Notamacropus eugenii: one gene and its partner. The protein of the gene in region 2 purifies or fractionates together with the protein of the main gene of each other region. This does not show direct contact. Links are inferred from orthologs where the notes say so. Each region holds a gene or a part of one and is shown on either strand. Other genes may lie near its edges.

Region 1 (7,219 bases), on a different chromosome or scaffold from region 2:
TGACCTGTCCAAAGTCATAGAGAAGAGCAGCAGAGTTGGAGCACTGGAAGGGGAATACAAAAACCAACAGAGGAATGACTTCATTGCTTAGTTACACCAACAACCTTCAACTTGGGATGCAGAATATCATTCATTTCACAAGTATTTCTTAAGTACCTATTATGGGCAAGACTATCTGAATGAATTTTAAAATCCATACTATCTCTTCTCCAAGAAGATAACAGGAAAACAATCTGAGCAAATGTGTCGATAGAAATATGACCTCCAAAAATTCTGCCTTCCAAATGGGTGACATTAACTTACCCAAGGTTTCTAGAAAAAGAAAAAAACCTTAAAAACCCAATTATGCTTCTGGCCTCAAAGCCCAAGTTGCAAATATGAGACTTTACTACTTCAGATCTCAAAATACTAAGAGTTAGAAAAGCAATGGGTAAAAATGCAAAAGAAGGTGGTCTAGCTGTGCCAGATCTCAAACTGTATTATAAAGAGGTAATTATCAAAACAATCTGGTACTTGCTAAGAAACAGAAGTATATCTCAAACTATATTTTATAAAGCAGTAATTATCAAAACAATCTGATATTGGCTCTGAAACAGAGTGGTGGGTCAGTGGAATAGATTAGGTACAAATTACATTATAGTAAACAACTATAATCATCTAATATATGATAAATCCAAACATCCAAGCTTTTGGAACAAAAACTCATTTGTCAAAAACTGCTGGGAAAACTGGAAAACAGTTTGGCAGAAACTAGGCATAGACCAACATTTCACACTGTACATCAAGATAAGGTCAAAAGGAGTATGTGATTTACACATAAAAGAAAGGGTGACCTCATAAGCAAATTAAGAGAGTACAGAACAGTTTATCCGTCAGATTTATGGATAGGGGAAGAATTTAGGATCAAAGAAGATATTAGAACACTACAAAATATAAAATAGATCATTTTGATTATATAAAATTCAAGTTTTGTATAAGCCAAACCAAAGAAACCAAAATTAAATAGGAAGCCGACAACTAGGGAAAAATTTTTTGCAGCAAGTATCTCTTACAAAAGTCTCATTTTTCAAATACACAGAGAATTGAGTCAAATCCATAAATGTACAAGTCATTCCCCAACTGATAAATGATCAACGGATATAAACAGCTTTCATATAAAAGAAATCAAGGCTATCTATTGCCATATAAAAATGCTCTAAATCACTACTGATTAGAGAAATGCAAATTAAAACAACTCTGAGGTACCTCTTTACACCTATCAGAGTGGCTAATATGACAAAAAAGAAAATTTTGGGTGTTGGAGGGCATGTGGTAAAACCTAGATACCAATGTTCGGTTGATGGGAGTTGTGAACTGATCCAACCATTAGGGCTACCAAACTGTGAATACCTTAGATCCAGCAATATCACTGCTAGGTCTATATCCCATAGACATCAAAAAAAAAGGGGGGGTGGGGGGTGGAGAAGGGCCCATTTGTACAAAACTATTTATAGCTGCTCTTTTTGTGGTAGCTAAGAGTTGGAAGTCAAAGGGATGCCCACCAATTTAGGAATGGCTAAACAAGCTGTAGTATATAACTTTAATGGAACGTATAAGTAATGACAAACAGGATGATTTCAGAAAAACCCGGAAAGACTTATATAACTGATGCACAAAGAACCGAACAGAACCAGGAGAACGCTGTGCATCGTAACTGTGAATGACTTGACTATTCTCAGCAATAACAGTGATCCAAGACAATCCCAAAGGACTAAGGACGAAGCACAACAGCAGTCTCCGGAGAAAGAGCTAATACTGACTGAACAGAGACTGAAACACGCTCTTCTTCACTTTTTTTCATTTTTTTCCTGTCGTCTTGTTCAGAATGACTTATAAGGAGATGTTTTAAGTAACTGCATACGTATAACCTACATCCGATGGCTTACCGTCTCAGGGTGGAGGAGGGGAGGAAAGTACAGAATTTGGAACTCAAAACGTGAAAGAAAAATGTTTAAAAATGGGACAGAAAAGAAGATAGCAGCGGAAACCACGAGGGGTGCTTCCACGATGACCAGGATCAACCCTTCCAACGAGGACAGGGAAAACCCGAAGCCCGCGGGAGCGCGGCTTAAGAAGCGGAAGTTGTCCTCTTTTAGCATCCACTTTGAAAGACTTTGAATGGATCCGCAAGCCGCGTCTCCGGCTGGGGGCTCGGCCAGCGGACACGGACGGACATACGGACGTACTCACACTCACACCAACACAACTCACCACGCGCGCGCCCTCCCCGGCCCACACCCGGCCCACGCGCCGCTCTCCCTTTCCTGGACTCGGCCTCGGGTCGCCCTGACAGGCCTAACCCTGTCCCCCGCGGCCCTCAGCTCCTTGGTCCTCCGGAAAGACTGCCGGAGGAGGGCGAAGAGGAATTCCCGGGCCTGAGAGAATCGCTCCGGCCACGAGGCTCACCGATCCCACCCCACCCCCTCCCCGGGCAGGCCTTGCTCCCCAGCAGCTCCGAAAGGCCTGGGGAGGGGAGGGGGGGAAACTCGTGCCGGGCCCTTCGGCCTCCCCGGCTAGGGCTGGGCCTGGAGTTGGCGCCGCCACCCGAGAGGGTTCCCGTGAGAGCAAAGCCTCCCCCGGGCCGCCTGCCACGGGCCCGAGATCCGAAAGAAAATACCGGTGATCTCGGGCCCAGCCGAGACCTCGTCTCTGCCCGCCCCAACATCAACAAAGCCCGGCGCCCCCTCCCGCCTCGGGCCGGCCTCGCTTACCCATCGCTCCCCGCACGTTTCTTGCCGGAGGGATAATCTTCCCCTAGGTCTAACCGGTGCCGCTTGGACATGGTCGCGCTGGCACAGCGGCGATGGAAGAAGGAGTTTAAAAAGGGAACGAGAGGAGGGGCAACCGGCGGCAACAGGGACAAGGGCGATCCTTCGTTCCGGGAGCCCCCCCCCCACCTACAACAGCCTCCGCCGTGCGGCCGGGACCAGAAGGCAAAATGGCGGCGGCGGCAAGGACCGGGCCTGCGCGCGCGCCTCCGTCGCGTGCGTGCGTGCCTGGGTGCGCGCGCGCGGCGTCCCGCTCCTCGCCGTTTCTCTCTCGCTCATTCGTCCAGCCGACCGCCGCACAACCCCGTCCCGCCTTTTGCTAGGAAGAGGCGAGGAGGGGGAGGGGCAAGAAATAGCCCGCCCTCTAGGCTTGTCGTGATGGGGCACGTAATGCGAAAAGGCTGCTGGGAAGATTACCTCGGTGTCACCTCCACCCTCAGTGAGGAGGAAAATCTTGGAGAAGTGGCGGGAGGGGGTGGGGGAGAAACCCACGTGTTGTGGAAAGTTGGGTTGAATGAAAGGACGGGGCTGTCCAGGCGCAGAAAGGTGGAGTCCCCCCTCCCAAGCTCACCTTGCCACATTGTTGCCAGCTGAGGAGCGTGGGAAAGGACCCCCTCCCCCTAGGAGCCTAAGTTTCCCCATTAGCTATTGAACCACAGAGCCTCCCCATGGGAAGCGACCTACCTCCCAAACCATCCAGCCAGTGAGTCTATCCGCAGGTACTGGCAGCGCGCTGGGCGATGGGCCAACTCAGACCTGAACTAGAAGACCCCAACTTTGAATGAGGGGACGCTCCCTCCCTCCAGAGGTAACCCGTTCCAAAGGAGGTGAACCAACACTGCTCAAAAGGAAAAGAATTGAAATAGTCAATAAGCATGAACAGAGGCTCTAAATCACTACAGATAAAGGAGAGTCAAGCCCATGCCAAGCAAATGTTTCAAAGTGGACAAAAGATGGAAATAATTAATGTTGGAGTATTGCGGGAAAGTAGGCACACTACTAATCCATAGTGGGTGGAGCTGTGGTTCCTTCTGCAAAGGGACTTAGAATTTTGAAGTAACTAATGTGTCAGTATCCTTTGATCCGAAGATCTGAGAAATATTCCCAGAGGGTCAAAGATAGAAAGTCTCCCTGTGTGTAAAAATGTTTATGTCAACATTTATAACTACTCCAATAAAACAAAATTTGAAACAAAGTAGGCTTCAGCAGGTTGGGAAATAAAGGGTGGTACAATAGAGTATTGCTCTGCTGTGAGAAACAGTTTATATGAAGAATACAGAGAAACATTGGAAGCTTTTAAACAAACTGATGGAAAATGAAATAAGTAGAACTTAGAAAATAAGGTGCACGGATTGAAATAGGTAGGTGGTCTTGAGGATAGTCAGGAAAACATAAATACAGATCTTGTCTCAGACACTAGCTGTGTGGCCCTGGGCAAGTCCTTTGACTTCTCTCAGCCTCAGTTTTCTCATCTATAAAATGGGGATAAGAATAACAAATATTCCACGTAGTTGTGAGCCTCAAATGAGGAAGTATATGTAAAATGTTTTGCAAAAAATTTAGTTATATGTTTGTATATAGTTTTTTTATTATTATAGCAATATAAATGGAAAGAATAGAAAACAATGAAAATGAATGCCATGTTGAGTATAATGACCAAACTTGACTCCCAAAGATGTAATAAGACTGCAGTGGAGAGTTGGTAGACTCTAGGTATGGAATATTAATTACTTAATGATGCCTTTATAAAGTGCTTAATCTGTGGCACTATGGTAAGTGCTAGGGATGCAAAGCAAAAGCAAAAACCTAAAATAGTCTTTATCTCACGGAGCTTATATTCCATATACTGTCAGACTCATTTAATGTGTTGGTTTTGGAGAACTGGTTTTTTTTCTTTTTCCTTTTGTAACAAAGGATGATTTTCTGAGTGGGAGCGAGGAGAGGGATGTATTTGGAATTGAAGATGATCTAAAAATAAGAGCTAATTTTTAAAAAGTAAATCTCTCTTTAAAAGAAGAAAGTTGCTGAAGTGGAGCTTTAGACCTCGCAATGAGGTATAAAATCAATCATGGAACTTCAAAGCACAAATAAAGCCATTATGAACTTTAAAAGAAAAAACTTAAGACAATAACCCAGTTTTATGCCTCTAGGCTATTTTTGAGCAAAAGTTTAGGAGAAAGACTGTGATAATCCTAGTGTGTCCCATCAGATTGGTCCCAGATTTGAACTATTTTCTGCTCTGAAAAACATCAAAATAAAGTGGAAAAGAGCACTTTCATCTAGCTCATCCATAAGAATTGTAGGAGAGACTCTATGAAATGCTCTACAGAAATATAAATTATATCAGTATTTTCCTGATCTGCCAGTCTAGTAATCATGTCAAAAAAAGTTAGTCTGGTATGACCTGTTCTTGATGAAGCCATGCTGGTTGTTCTCTTTTCTTGAATTCTGTCTCAAATGAATTACTAGGTGTGTTCTTCCTATATTTTAGCTCCTATCTGTGTTATCTAGCATGGTAGACATACACTCACTGTTTTCTCCCACTCTCTTTACTTTAAAGTGTTTTAGAAAGAATATTACTAGTATAATACTGTCTACCCTGGCCTGAAGTCCAGAGTTGTACAATACCCTTAAATGGTGTAGGGTATTTAGGCTCCAGCCCCACCAATGGTGTTTCTTCCAGGGAGTGATTCTTTACATCCCAGTTCTGTTTAGCTACATATCTATTACATTTGCCTTTATAAGGGAATATTTGTTTCAAAGGTATAATAACAAATATACAGGCATATTCTCCAACAGGCAGAAAATAATTCCCCAACTCCCATTTTTCACTACCTCATATTCTGGGGTGAGGAGGAAGATTAGATTCATAGCTTAGCTCAGTTCCTATAAAGCACGGTCCAGTTCCAAGTCCAAACATACTTCAGTCTGAAGTCCCAGCCACCCTGACTTCTCCAATTTTCTGTACCAGCCTGGCCAACTGCAACATCTCACCTGGACTCCTGGCTCCAAGGTAACTATGGCTTGAGCACTCGCACTAATGGGGATCACCACTGGCACCTGAAACTAAGAAAGACAAATGATGCAGAACAAGGACCTCAGACCTGTTTCTGGGAGGCAGGGTAAGAGTATATCCTCTTCCCAGTTAAGTTCATTGTGCCCAGCCCTTTGGTGACTTGGACCCTCTGGACACAGCAGGAAACAGTGAGCTTGTAAAGAGAGACTCTCAGTCTGGCTAGTTTTAAAGATGTAGCCTTTTCTGGTCACATAACCAATAAAAGGAGGCTACATCCACTTACATGGTAGGAAAACACCGGAGGCAGAGTATGCTTCCATGTTAGGTAATCATAGTATGACCAGGGTAAGCCCTTTACACTAGCAATTTTGGGACCCAAGCAAGCTTCACAAAATGTGCTTTAAATTACCTTTTTTAAAAACCAATTCTGCTGGGAGATAGAGAAAGACTTCAGGGAAAAGACTGTGATGGTAGATACCCTGAAGGCTGAAAATTCCACCTTGGGGACTGTTGGGTTGGGAATGAGGGTGGGAATGAGAGCAGAAAGCTGGTCACTTGATGGTTTCCTATTTTAATTTCTTTCATGCTAGATAGGTATTAAACTCAGTTGTTTCTATGCTGCTGAGTGAATATAAATGCTGTCAGGTCCTTCTAAATTTATGGTTTGATCATTCTTATTTGCAACTCTCCTGGAAGCAAAAACTAGATGATCACCTGTCAGGTCTGCTGAATAGGGGACCCCTGTTCGTGTATGCTTTTAGATTAGATAACTTCTGAGGTATCTGCCAAGTCTGGGATTCTACGATTTCTTGAACAAACTTTCTTTTGTTTCTATCAATTACTAGAGCTAGATGGAAAGTTGAAACAGCACTAAGGAAAACAAGGTTGGAAAAAGCAGTGATGCTTTGTAGTCCAAGAATGCATAGATATTCAAATTGGAGGTAATACAATTTTGAGAGCATTGAGGGATTAATTCTCAAGATACCTGAAAGAGGGGAGAATTTCCCAACGGGGGAGGAGAAATGATTACCAAGAATAGGTAACTAAGAAAAATATCAACAATTGCTGATCTAGAGGCCTCCTTTCCCACCTCCACAAAATCTTTCTGAGCATAATTCGCACTTACCTCAAGGAGATCTCCTTGATGAGGTGATGAGTAGTGAGCTGGCAGACCATCTTTGTACAATTGCTTAGTTGATTGAAAGACCCTGCTTTTAGTCAAGATCCTACTGGGTTTATTGTTTATTAACTATTAAGAAAGGAAAACATGATTCTATAGAGTAAAATGTTTTAAAGGCTTTCCTCCAACAGGATTTGTATCCCCTGTATCTGTCAAATTCACATAAAATTCCATGAAAAAATGTAACAAAAGAGATAACTTTGTTTCTAAACCCTG
Region 2 (7,034 bases):
TCTGAACTGGTTCAGTTTTCCAAAAGGGATCACAGGCCGTAAATTTTCCAGTGCTCAGTCAACAGCATTCCCGATGGCCAGGTTTCACATTATGTTGGCAGCCTTACCTTGTGGGCCATGACTGCCAAAAGAAGGGGGTTCCTCATCAGAAGTAGAACTGAGGGTCAAACCCAGCTCAGCCGCTCTTTTCTTCTGCTTCTTCTGGGGGCTGCTGAACTCTCCTTCTCCTCTTCTCTTCATTGTCACTGCAACCACAAACCAAAAAAAGAAAATAAAAAGGAAAAAGGCAGTTGCCTCCCTCTGGTTCAAAGCCACATTAACAGGAGATGATAAAGTCTGAGGGTACAAACACATAAACCACCTAAGGGATAGAATTTGACAATTTTTATCATCTTCCAGAGCCAACACTCCAATGACCTTCTTTTGGAATGAATCTCAGATGATGGCAACCAGGATCCAGTTCTCATTAGTAATTAATTTTATGTGTATTTGTAAAAATGCAACACAGACCCAGAGGTGACTGTCACGTCAATTCCAAGTTCTTGACCCAAAAAATTACACATTAATTCTCCATCTCTTAGTGGTCACTATTCACATGGACAGTTCATATTTTTCCATTCTACTGAATGACACACTAGGATTCAATCTGTTGGGATGGGTGATGACAAAGACAAATTTATAACTACTAACAGCAAGGGCTCTGAAAAACAATTGGGTAATCACTTTTATTTTTACTGACAACTGATTTTTGGCTTGTTTCAACATGAGCTTAAGCATACAGAGGAATTAGGAAACTTTTCTAACAATCAGAGCAGCATTCTATCCACTAGTTGGTTGGTTTAATGCCCATGGTATAGAAAGCAAGTACTCTGGACATGAGGTTGGCACACAGCCATGGTACACAAATGGCTAGGAAAATGGAAATAAGCACACATCAAGCCACTATTATTTATTTAGAGCTAGATACTAAAGGAAAAAAATATCAGAGAGGAACAGGGGGCAATGACATCTAAATATCCTAACAGAACAATCATCTTTATTGAAGAAGATACTGAGTTTAACAAATTGCGGTCCACAGATTCTAGAAAGCCTTCTACACAGCTCAGACAGATGGAAAAAAGGAAAGTGAAGCAGCAGACATAAAGCCAAGAAAGTTTCAGACTTGGCAACAACAAAGGGCAGGGACCAAGTGGGGATTTGGGTGTTGGTCACAACATCTATTACATTTGGAAGCAGTGACAGCAGTAAATAGGTGAGCAGGCCAAAGAGCAGCTGTCACTTTCCCCAATGACACTTCCCAGAGCCCTGGATCAATTTACCTTACTGTCTTGTCTCTTTACCTGTAAGATTAGCCAGTTAGATGCTACCTCATAGTAATACTGTGTGGCTTACCTAGTGACCAAAAATGTACTGAGAAAACCGTGTGTGACTCCCTAGCTCAGCTCTCACCCATGTATGCTAGTGTTGGCTTTCAATAAACATCGCGTGGTTAGCCTTATCCCTGAATTATGCTCTGTACTTCAAGGATCCAAAATTTCATTTGTGTGGGTCACCCTTCTGCTGATGCAGATCACAAACCACCCCTACACAAGCCTTACTGGATATCTTCACTATATATATATTATATATATACACACACCCACACATACACACAATGGTTAGCCTTCTAGCATTTTGTCTCTCCGCTTAGCTAGACTGGTCTCTAAGCAGCAGACACAGAGTCTGCCTCTGGACCCATTCTTGGAACCTTTTTAGCTTGTTACGGCTAGAGTTTGGACTCTGCTGGCATGGCCTTGGAAGGCTTAAGGCCTTCATCACGTCATGATAAAGCATTTGGCTGCTAGGGAAGCAGTTGTATTCTGCAGTATATATTTAATTCAATTTACTGGTGCTCACAGATAACCAGCACTAAAATAATTTTTCCAGATTTTTCTTTTCCTTTGTAAAAAAAAAAAAAGATTGGCCAGTTACAGTCTCATTCCCTTCTGGCTATGACAGCTGTTTTCTCACTTCCATGGGGGAAAAGGGGGAGCAAACAGGAACTAAGAAGTGTCGATACGGGAGCCCCAGGAGTCACCCTAAGTTCTGAAGGATGGAGCTTCAGGAGGGGTGCAGTGATTGGGGACAATCCTGGCGATGCACCCCCGGAGGATGTCAGGTTTAAGGGGTTAACGAGATGAAACTCCTCTCCCCCAACTCTGAGGGCTCCAGGTGTACAGGAGGAGAGGAGGCAGAGCCGCTGCCTGTCTAAGCCGGGGCAGAGGTGCTGGTCAACAGAAGGGATCCTGACATTCCAGAAGGCCAGGGCTGGACAGGGCCCTGAGGCTCAGGCAGCGAAAGGAAAAACGAAGTGCAGGAGAACCGCGGGGAAGGGCGCGGCTAAGTCCAGCTGCCTCACCCGCACTGTTCAACCTCAGGCCCTACGGAAGACCCCAGGCTTCCACTCGGACCCTAGCCCCAGCCCCTCCCCCCACGCCCAGAGGAATGTGCCCATCTCCAAAGGTGGGAAGGCCAGCTGAGGGGGAAGGCAGGGGCTGCCGCGCTAATACCTAAGGACAAACACGGGGAACAGGCCCGGAGGGCACGGGAGGGCAAGGGGCGGGGGAGGGGAGGGCACAGGGGGGCACTGACAGGAGGGGGAGGGAGCCCACCAGGGCCGAGCAGCGCCGCGGGGGGGAGGCCCGCGAGGGGGAGGAGGACCGGAACCAGAAAGGAAAGCAGAGGGCCTGGGGCGCCGGGCCCGGGCCGGCGGAGGCGGGTCGCGGAGCCGGGCCTCTCAGTCGGGCCGCGGTGAGCCGGAAGGCGAAGCCAAGCCCGCCCCGATTCCCTCCCGCCCTGGCCGCGCCCGCGCTCCGGCACTCACGCTGCGGGGTGGGGGCGAGCTGACGGGGAGGGGAGCGAGGGGGAGGGGGCGTCAGGCCGCCAGATCGCGCCGCCGCCGCCGCAGCCGCCGCCGTCGCCGTCGCCCGGCCCCAGTTTCGTTTCCTCACAAAAGCCGCCCCCGTCGCGGGGTGACGTCACGCGCCCCGCCTGGCCGCGGCGCGGAGCGATGACGTCATCGGGGCCTTGATGGGCCCCTCCCGTCATGTAACAGATTCAAGGTTTCGATACGTGCCAGTGGACCCTCATCTAAAACACCCCACCCACCTCTGTCTCTTCGCGAGGCCGCTAGGCGGCGCAATGGTAGAGTGCCAGGTCTGGAACTGGGGAGCTCTGAGTTCGAGTTTAGAGTCAGATGCTATGAGGTTAACCCAGTTAACTGCTGTCTGCCTCAGTTTCCTCAGCTGTCAAGTGGGGATCATTTATCATAATAAAACTTGTTTGGTGGTTTTGAGGATCGGGTGAAATAAGATTTCCTCTTCCCCCATGACACTCATGTGCTGCAATTTAATGTAGCCATTCCCCTGTCCATGGACTGCTACTTTGTTTCCAATCCTTTGTCATCCCCAAGAAAGAACTGCTGTAAACAGGTGCACTTAGGGTCTCATCTGAACGGACAACTTTCCCAGTCTTAATCAGTTGTAAGGAAACATGTCCTGCGCTGAAATCTATTGGATTCATTCCTATCAAGCAAGCCCTAACCAACTGCTACATGGAGGTGCTTGATCAGCTCAGGAAGGACTCCTCCCTGATATCAATCAGTTAAACAATAGGTGGTGTAGTGGATATTCAGCCAACGCCTGGAGTCAGGAAGATTCATCTTCCCGAGTTCAAATGTGACCTGAGACACTTACTAGCTGTGTGACCCTGGGCAAGTCACTTAATCCTATTTGCCTCAGTTTCCTCAACTGAAAAATGAGTTGGACAAGGGAATGAGGAACCACTCCAGTATCTTTGCCAAGAAAATCTCAAATGGGGTCATGAAGAGTTAATTGGATCTGACACAACAAACATTTCTTCATTAAGTACCTAGTAGGTGCCTGACATAGTGCTAAGTGCTGGGGCTACAAAAGAGGTAAAAGACAATCCCTGTCCTCAAGGAGCTTCCCATCTAATGAAATTAGAGTCATAATGAATAATTCAACTATAAGCAGTACCTCTTTGCTCTCAACCCTTGACCAGATTGAATGGTTTAGGGGAAAAGTAAGTTACTGTTTTTCTGTTTGATGCATCAAAAACTTGTTACCTAAACTTGGTACCCTTGTTAATTCATGACAAAAGAATTCTGTCTTTGTTCTTGAACACAATGAATTGAAAGCGAAAAGTTGGGTCATATTTTCAAAAGCATGATGGATCTCTATCCCTATAGGTTTCTCATTCACTAAGCAAAGGTACTTTGAATTTAATTAATAATCTCTTTTGTTTCTGAGAGATCTGCCAAAAACACAAGAGTACTGAATTTTTCTTTCACAAACTTAACACTTTTCAAAGTGCTTTTATGTATATTGTCCCATAAGTCTCACAAAGCACAGATGTAACCAGGTACTGTCAGGTCAAGAACATACTACAAGACTTGAAAAAAATTTAGAAAGAATTTTTATTAAGTCATTTGGCAAAGGAGAGAGAGCCAGAAAAAGGCGTGACTCCGCTCTTGAAATTGTTAATTGTTAAGTCTTCACAATACAGAGAATTCAAATTAAGTCTTAGAATACATAGAGTTCAAACTAGGGCATAAGGACAAGCAGCTGGGTAGCTAGCATGGAAACAGTCACTTTCCAGAAAAGGGTAAGGTTACTTGAGATGCATATCAGCAGGTAAATGTAAACATTCAATATAATTTTATGGTTGTTGTTTAGTCATTTTCAATAGTGTCCAACTCTTTGTGACACCTTTTGATCTTTGGGGGTTTTTTGTTGTTTTGTTTTGCTTGTTTTTTGACAAAGGTACTGAAGCAGCTTACCATTTCCCTCTCTAGCTTATTTTACAGATGAGGATAATGAGACAAACAGGGTTAAGTGACTTGCCCAGGGTCACAAGGTGAGTAAGCAATATAATTTGGGTGAAGCCAAAACACAAGCTATTAGGGAAGCCATGACCTGGGTTCCCTGGAGAGTCTCTGAGGTCAGCATGCCCCATGATTTCAGGCTAGGCAATTTTCTAACCATATAAAGCTGTGTTCAAACAATATTAATAATTAACAAACTATTTCCCCCAGTAGTAATCTAACAGCAACTCAGGAAAACTGGTATGGTAGTTCATCATCTGCAGTCTCTCCTTTTGCAGTTTCAGAATATAGACTGACTTTTAAAATAAGTGTAGAAAGTCATTAGTTACTAGAAATTTGGAAATTACACCTGTGTTATAGAGTTTAACAGGCTGTACAGCATAATGTCTACTTCTGATAACCTTATATTTGATAGTAAACAATAAAAAATTTTATTCTACTAATACAAGGGTTCTTAGCCACGGGGTCCATGTTGCTTTTATATTTTGATAACTGTATTTCAGTATGATCTATTTCCTTTGTAATCTACATATTTTATTTTATATATTTTGAAACATTATTCAGACAAGGGATCCATAGGCTTTACCAGACTGTCAATAGGGTCTATGGCACACACAAAAAAGGTTAAGAATCCCTGCATTCATAGGAGAAAGGAAACCAGGAAGAATACAAGAAACATGAAAAGGTCTCTCTCCATCATCTCAACAATCTACATCCATCATTCTCCCTCTGTCACTGAATGCACTATAATGGCTCTGAGTCACAGAAGCCAAGGGTACATTTATACTTGTGAATATTACCTAAATCTGATTAAAATGTTTTCCTTTCTTGGCTGCTAGATGATTTTTATGTCAAGGCAATAAATCAATTTTTATGGTGTTCTGCTCCATAGAAATTAATGTAGACCAGGGGTTCTTAACCCTGGGGTCTGTAAGCTTTTTTTTTTTCAAATACTTTTATAACTATTTTAATATAATTGCTTTACTCTGTAATTCTACATATTGTATTTTATACCTTTAAAAACATTATTCTAAGGAGTCTATAGGTTTTACCAAACTGCCAAAGGGATCCATGGCACACACATACACATACACACACACACACACACACACACACACACACACACGCACGCACCCCAACAGTAATATTAATAACATTTATATAGCTTCTGCTATGGACCAGGCACTGTACTAAGAATGCAAAATATCTTCAAACATTTTATAAATATTATCTCATTTGATCCTTACCACAATCCTGGGAAGTAGGTACTACTGCTATCCCCATTTTATAGTTGAGGAAACAGACAAACAAAAGTTGTGACTTGCCTAATGTCACACAACTACTAGGTATCTGAGCACAGATTTGAACTCTTACCTTTCTGCCTCCAGGACAGGGGAATCTTTCCACTGCTCCATCTAGCTCTAAAGTACTGTTCCCTGTGTCATAATGTAAGGAGTATCTCCCCCGGGGAAAGTCACTGCTAGATTGGATGCATGATGAATGGTGATAGAGGGGAAGGGTGGCATTCTTAATGGAAGATAGAGGTAGTCATAAAAAATAAAATAGATCATTTATATTATATGAAATTGAAATTTTCTGCATGAAAAAGATCAATGCAACCAGGATAAGAAGAGAAGCTACAGACTGAGAGAGAAAAAAAGATGTATATCTCTGATAAAAGTCTGATTTCTTAGATATATAGATAATATTTAAGAACAAGAGCCATTCCCCAGTGGATAAGAATTGTTCCAAATCACTGATTTTAAAAAAGTGAATCAAAGCAATTAGAACCATCCAAAAGTAGAAGGGGATAACCTAGCTAATAGTGAGTTCCTCCTCATTGAAGCTATTAAAAAAGAAACTGGTTGATGACTTGTCACATATATCATACTGGGAGTTCTTTTTTGTGCATAGAGTGGAAAAGATGACCACTGAGGTCTCTTCCAATTTTAAAAACTTGTGATTACTTTGGGCTGGATGGGGCCACCACTGGCATGGCCATTGTGGTATTGGTCTACAAGGCTGCTCTGAAGACAAGCGCAGAGCTGGGGACTTTGAGAACGGAAATGAAGATTTGTGTAGTCTCGATCTCATGCTTTTTAAAAAATAATATTTTATTTTTTCCTAATTACATGTAAAAACAATTTCT

Evidence for each region. Proteins that work in one complex are often made in the same cells at the same time.
Region 1: the proteins of CMTR1 (region 2) and DHX15 purify together in Homo sapiens (co-immunoprecipitation; 3 studies listed by BioGRID and IntAct, with this or other methods). This does not show direct contact. The link is inferred for Notamacropus eugenii from reciprocal best matches to the Homo sapiens genes CMTR1 and DHX15.

Annotation. Positions count from the first base shown.
Region 1 is NC_092877.1:77,379,245-77,386,463, forward strand, and holds the start of DHX15 (ATP-dependent RNA helicase DHX15), read right to left. Parts: upstream 3,097-7,219; 5' UTR 2,822-3,096; coding exon 2,751-2,821; intron 1-2,750.
Region 2 is NC_092873.1:95,171,787-95,178,820, reverse strand, and holds the start of CMTR1 (cap-specific mRNA (nucleoside-2'-O-)-methyltransferase 1), read right to left. Parts: upstream 3,006-7,034; 5' UTR 2,864-3,005; intron 246-2,863; 5' UTR 241-245; coding exon 108-240; intron 1-107. UniProt on the Homo sapiens protein: S-adenosyl-L-methionine-dependent methyltransferase that mediates mRNA cap1 2'-O-ribose methylation to the 5'-cap structure of mRNAs.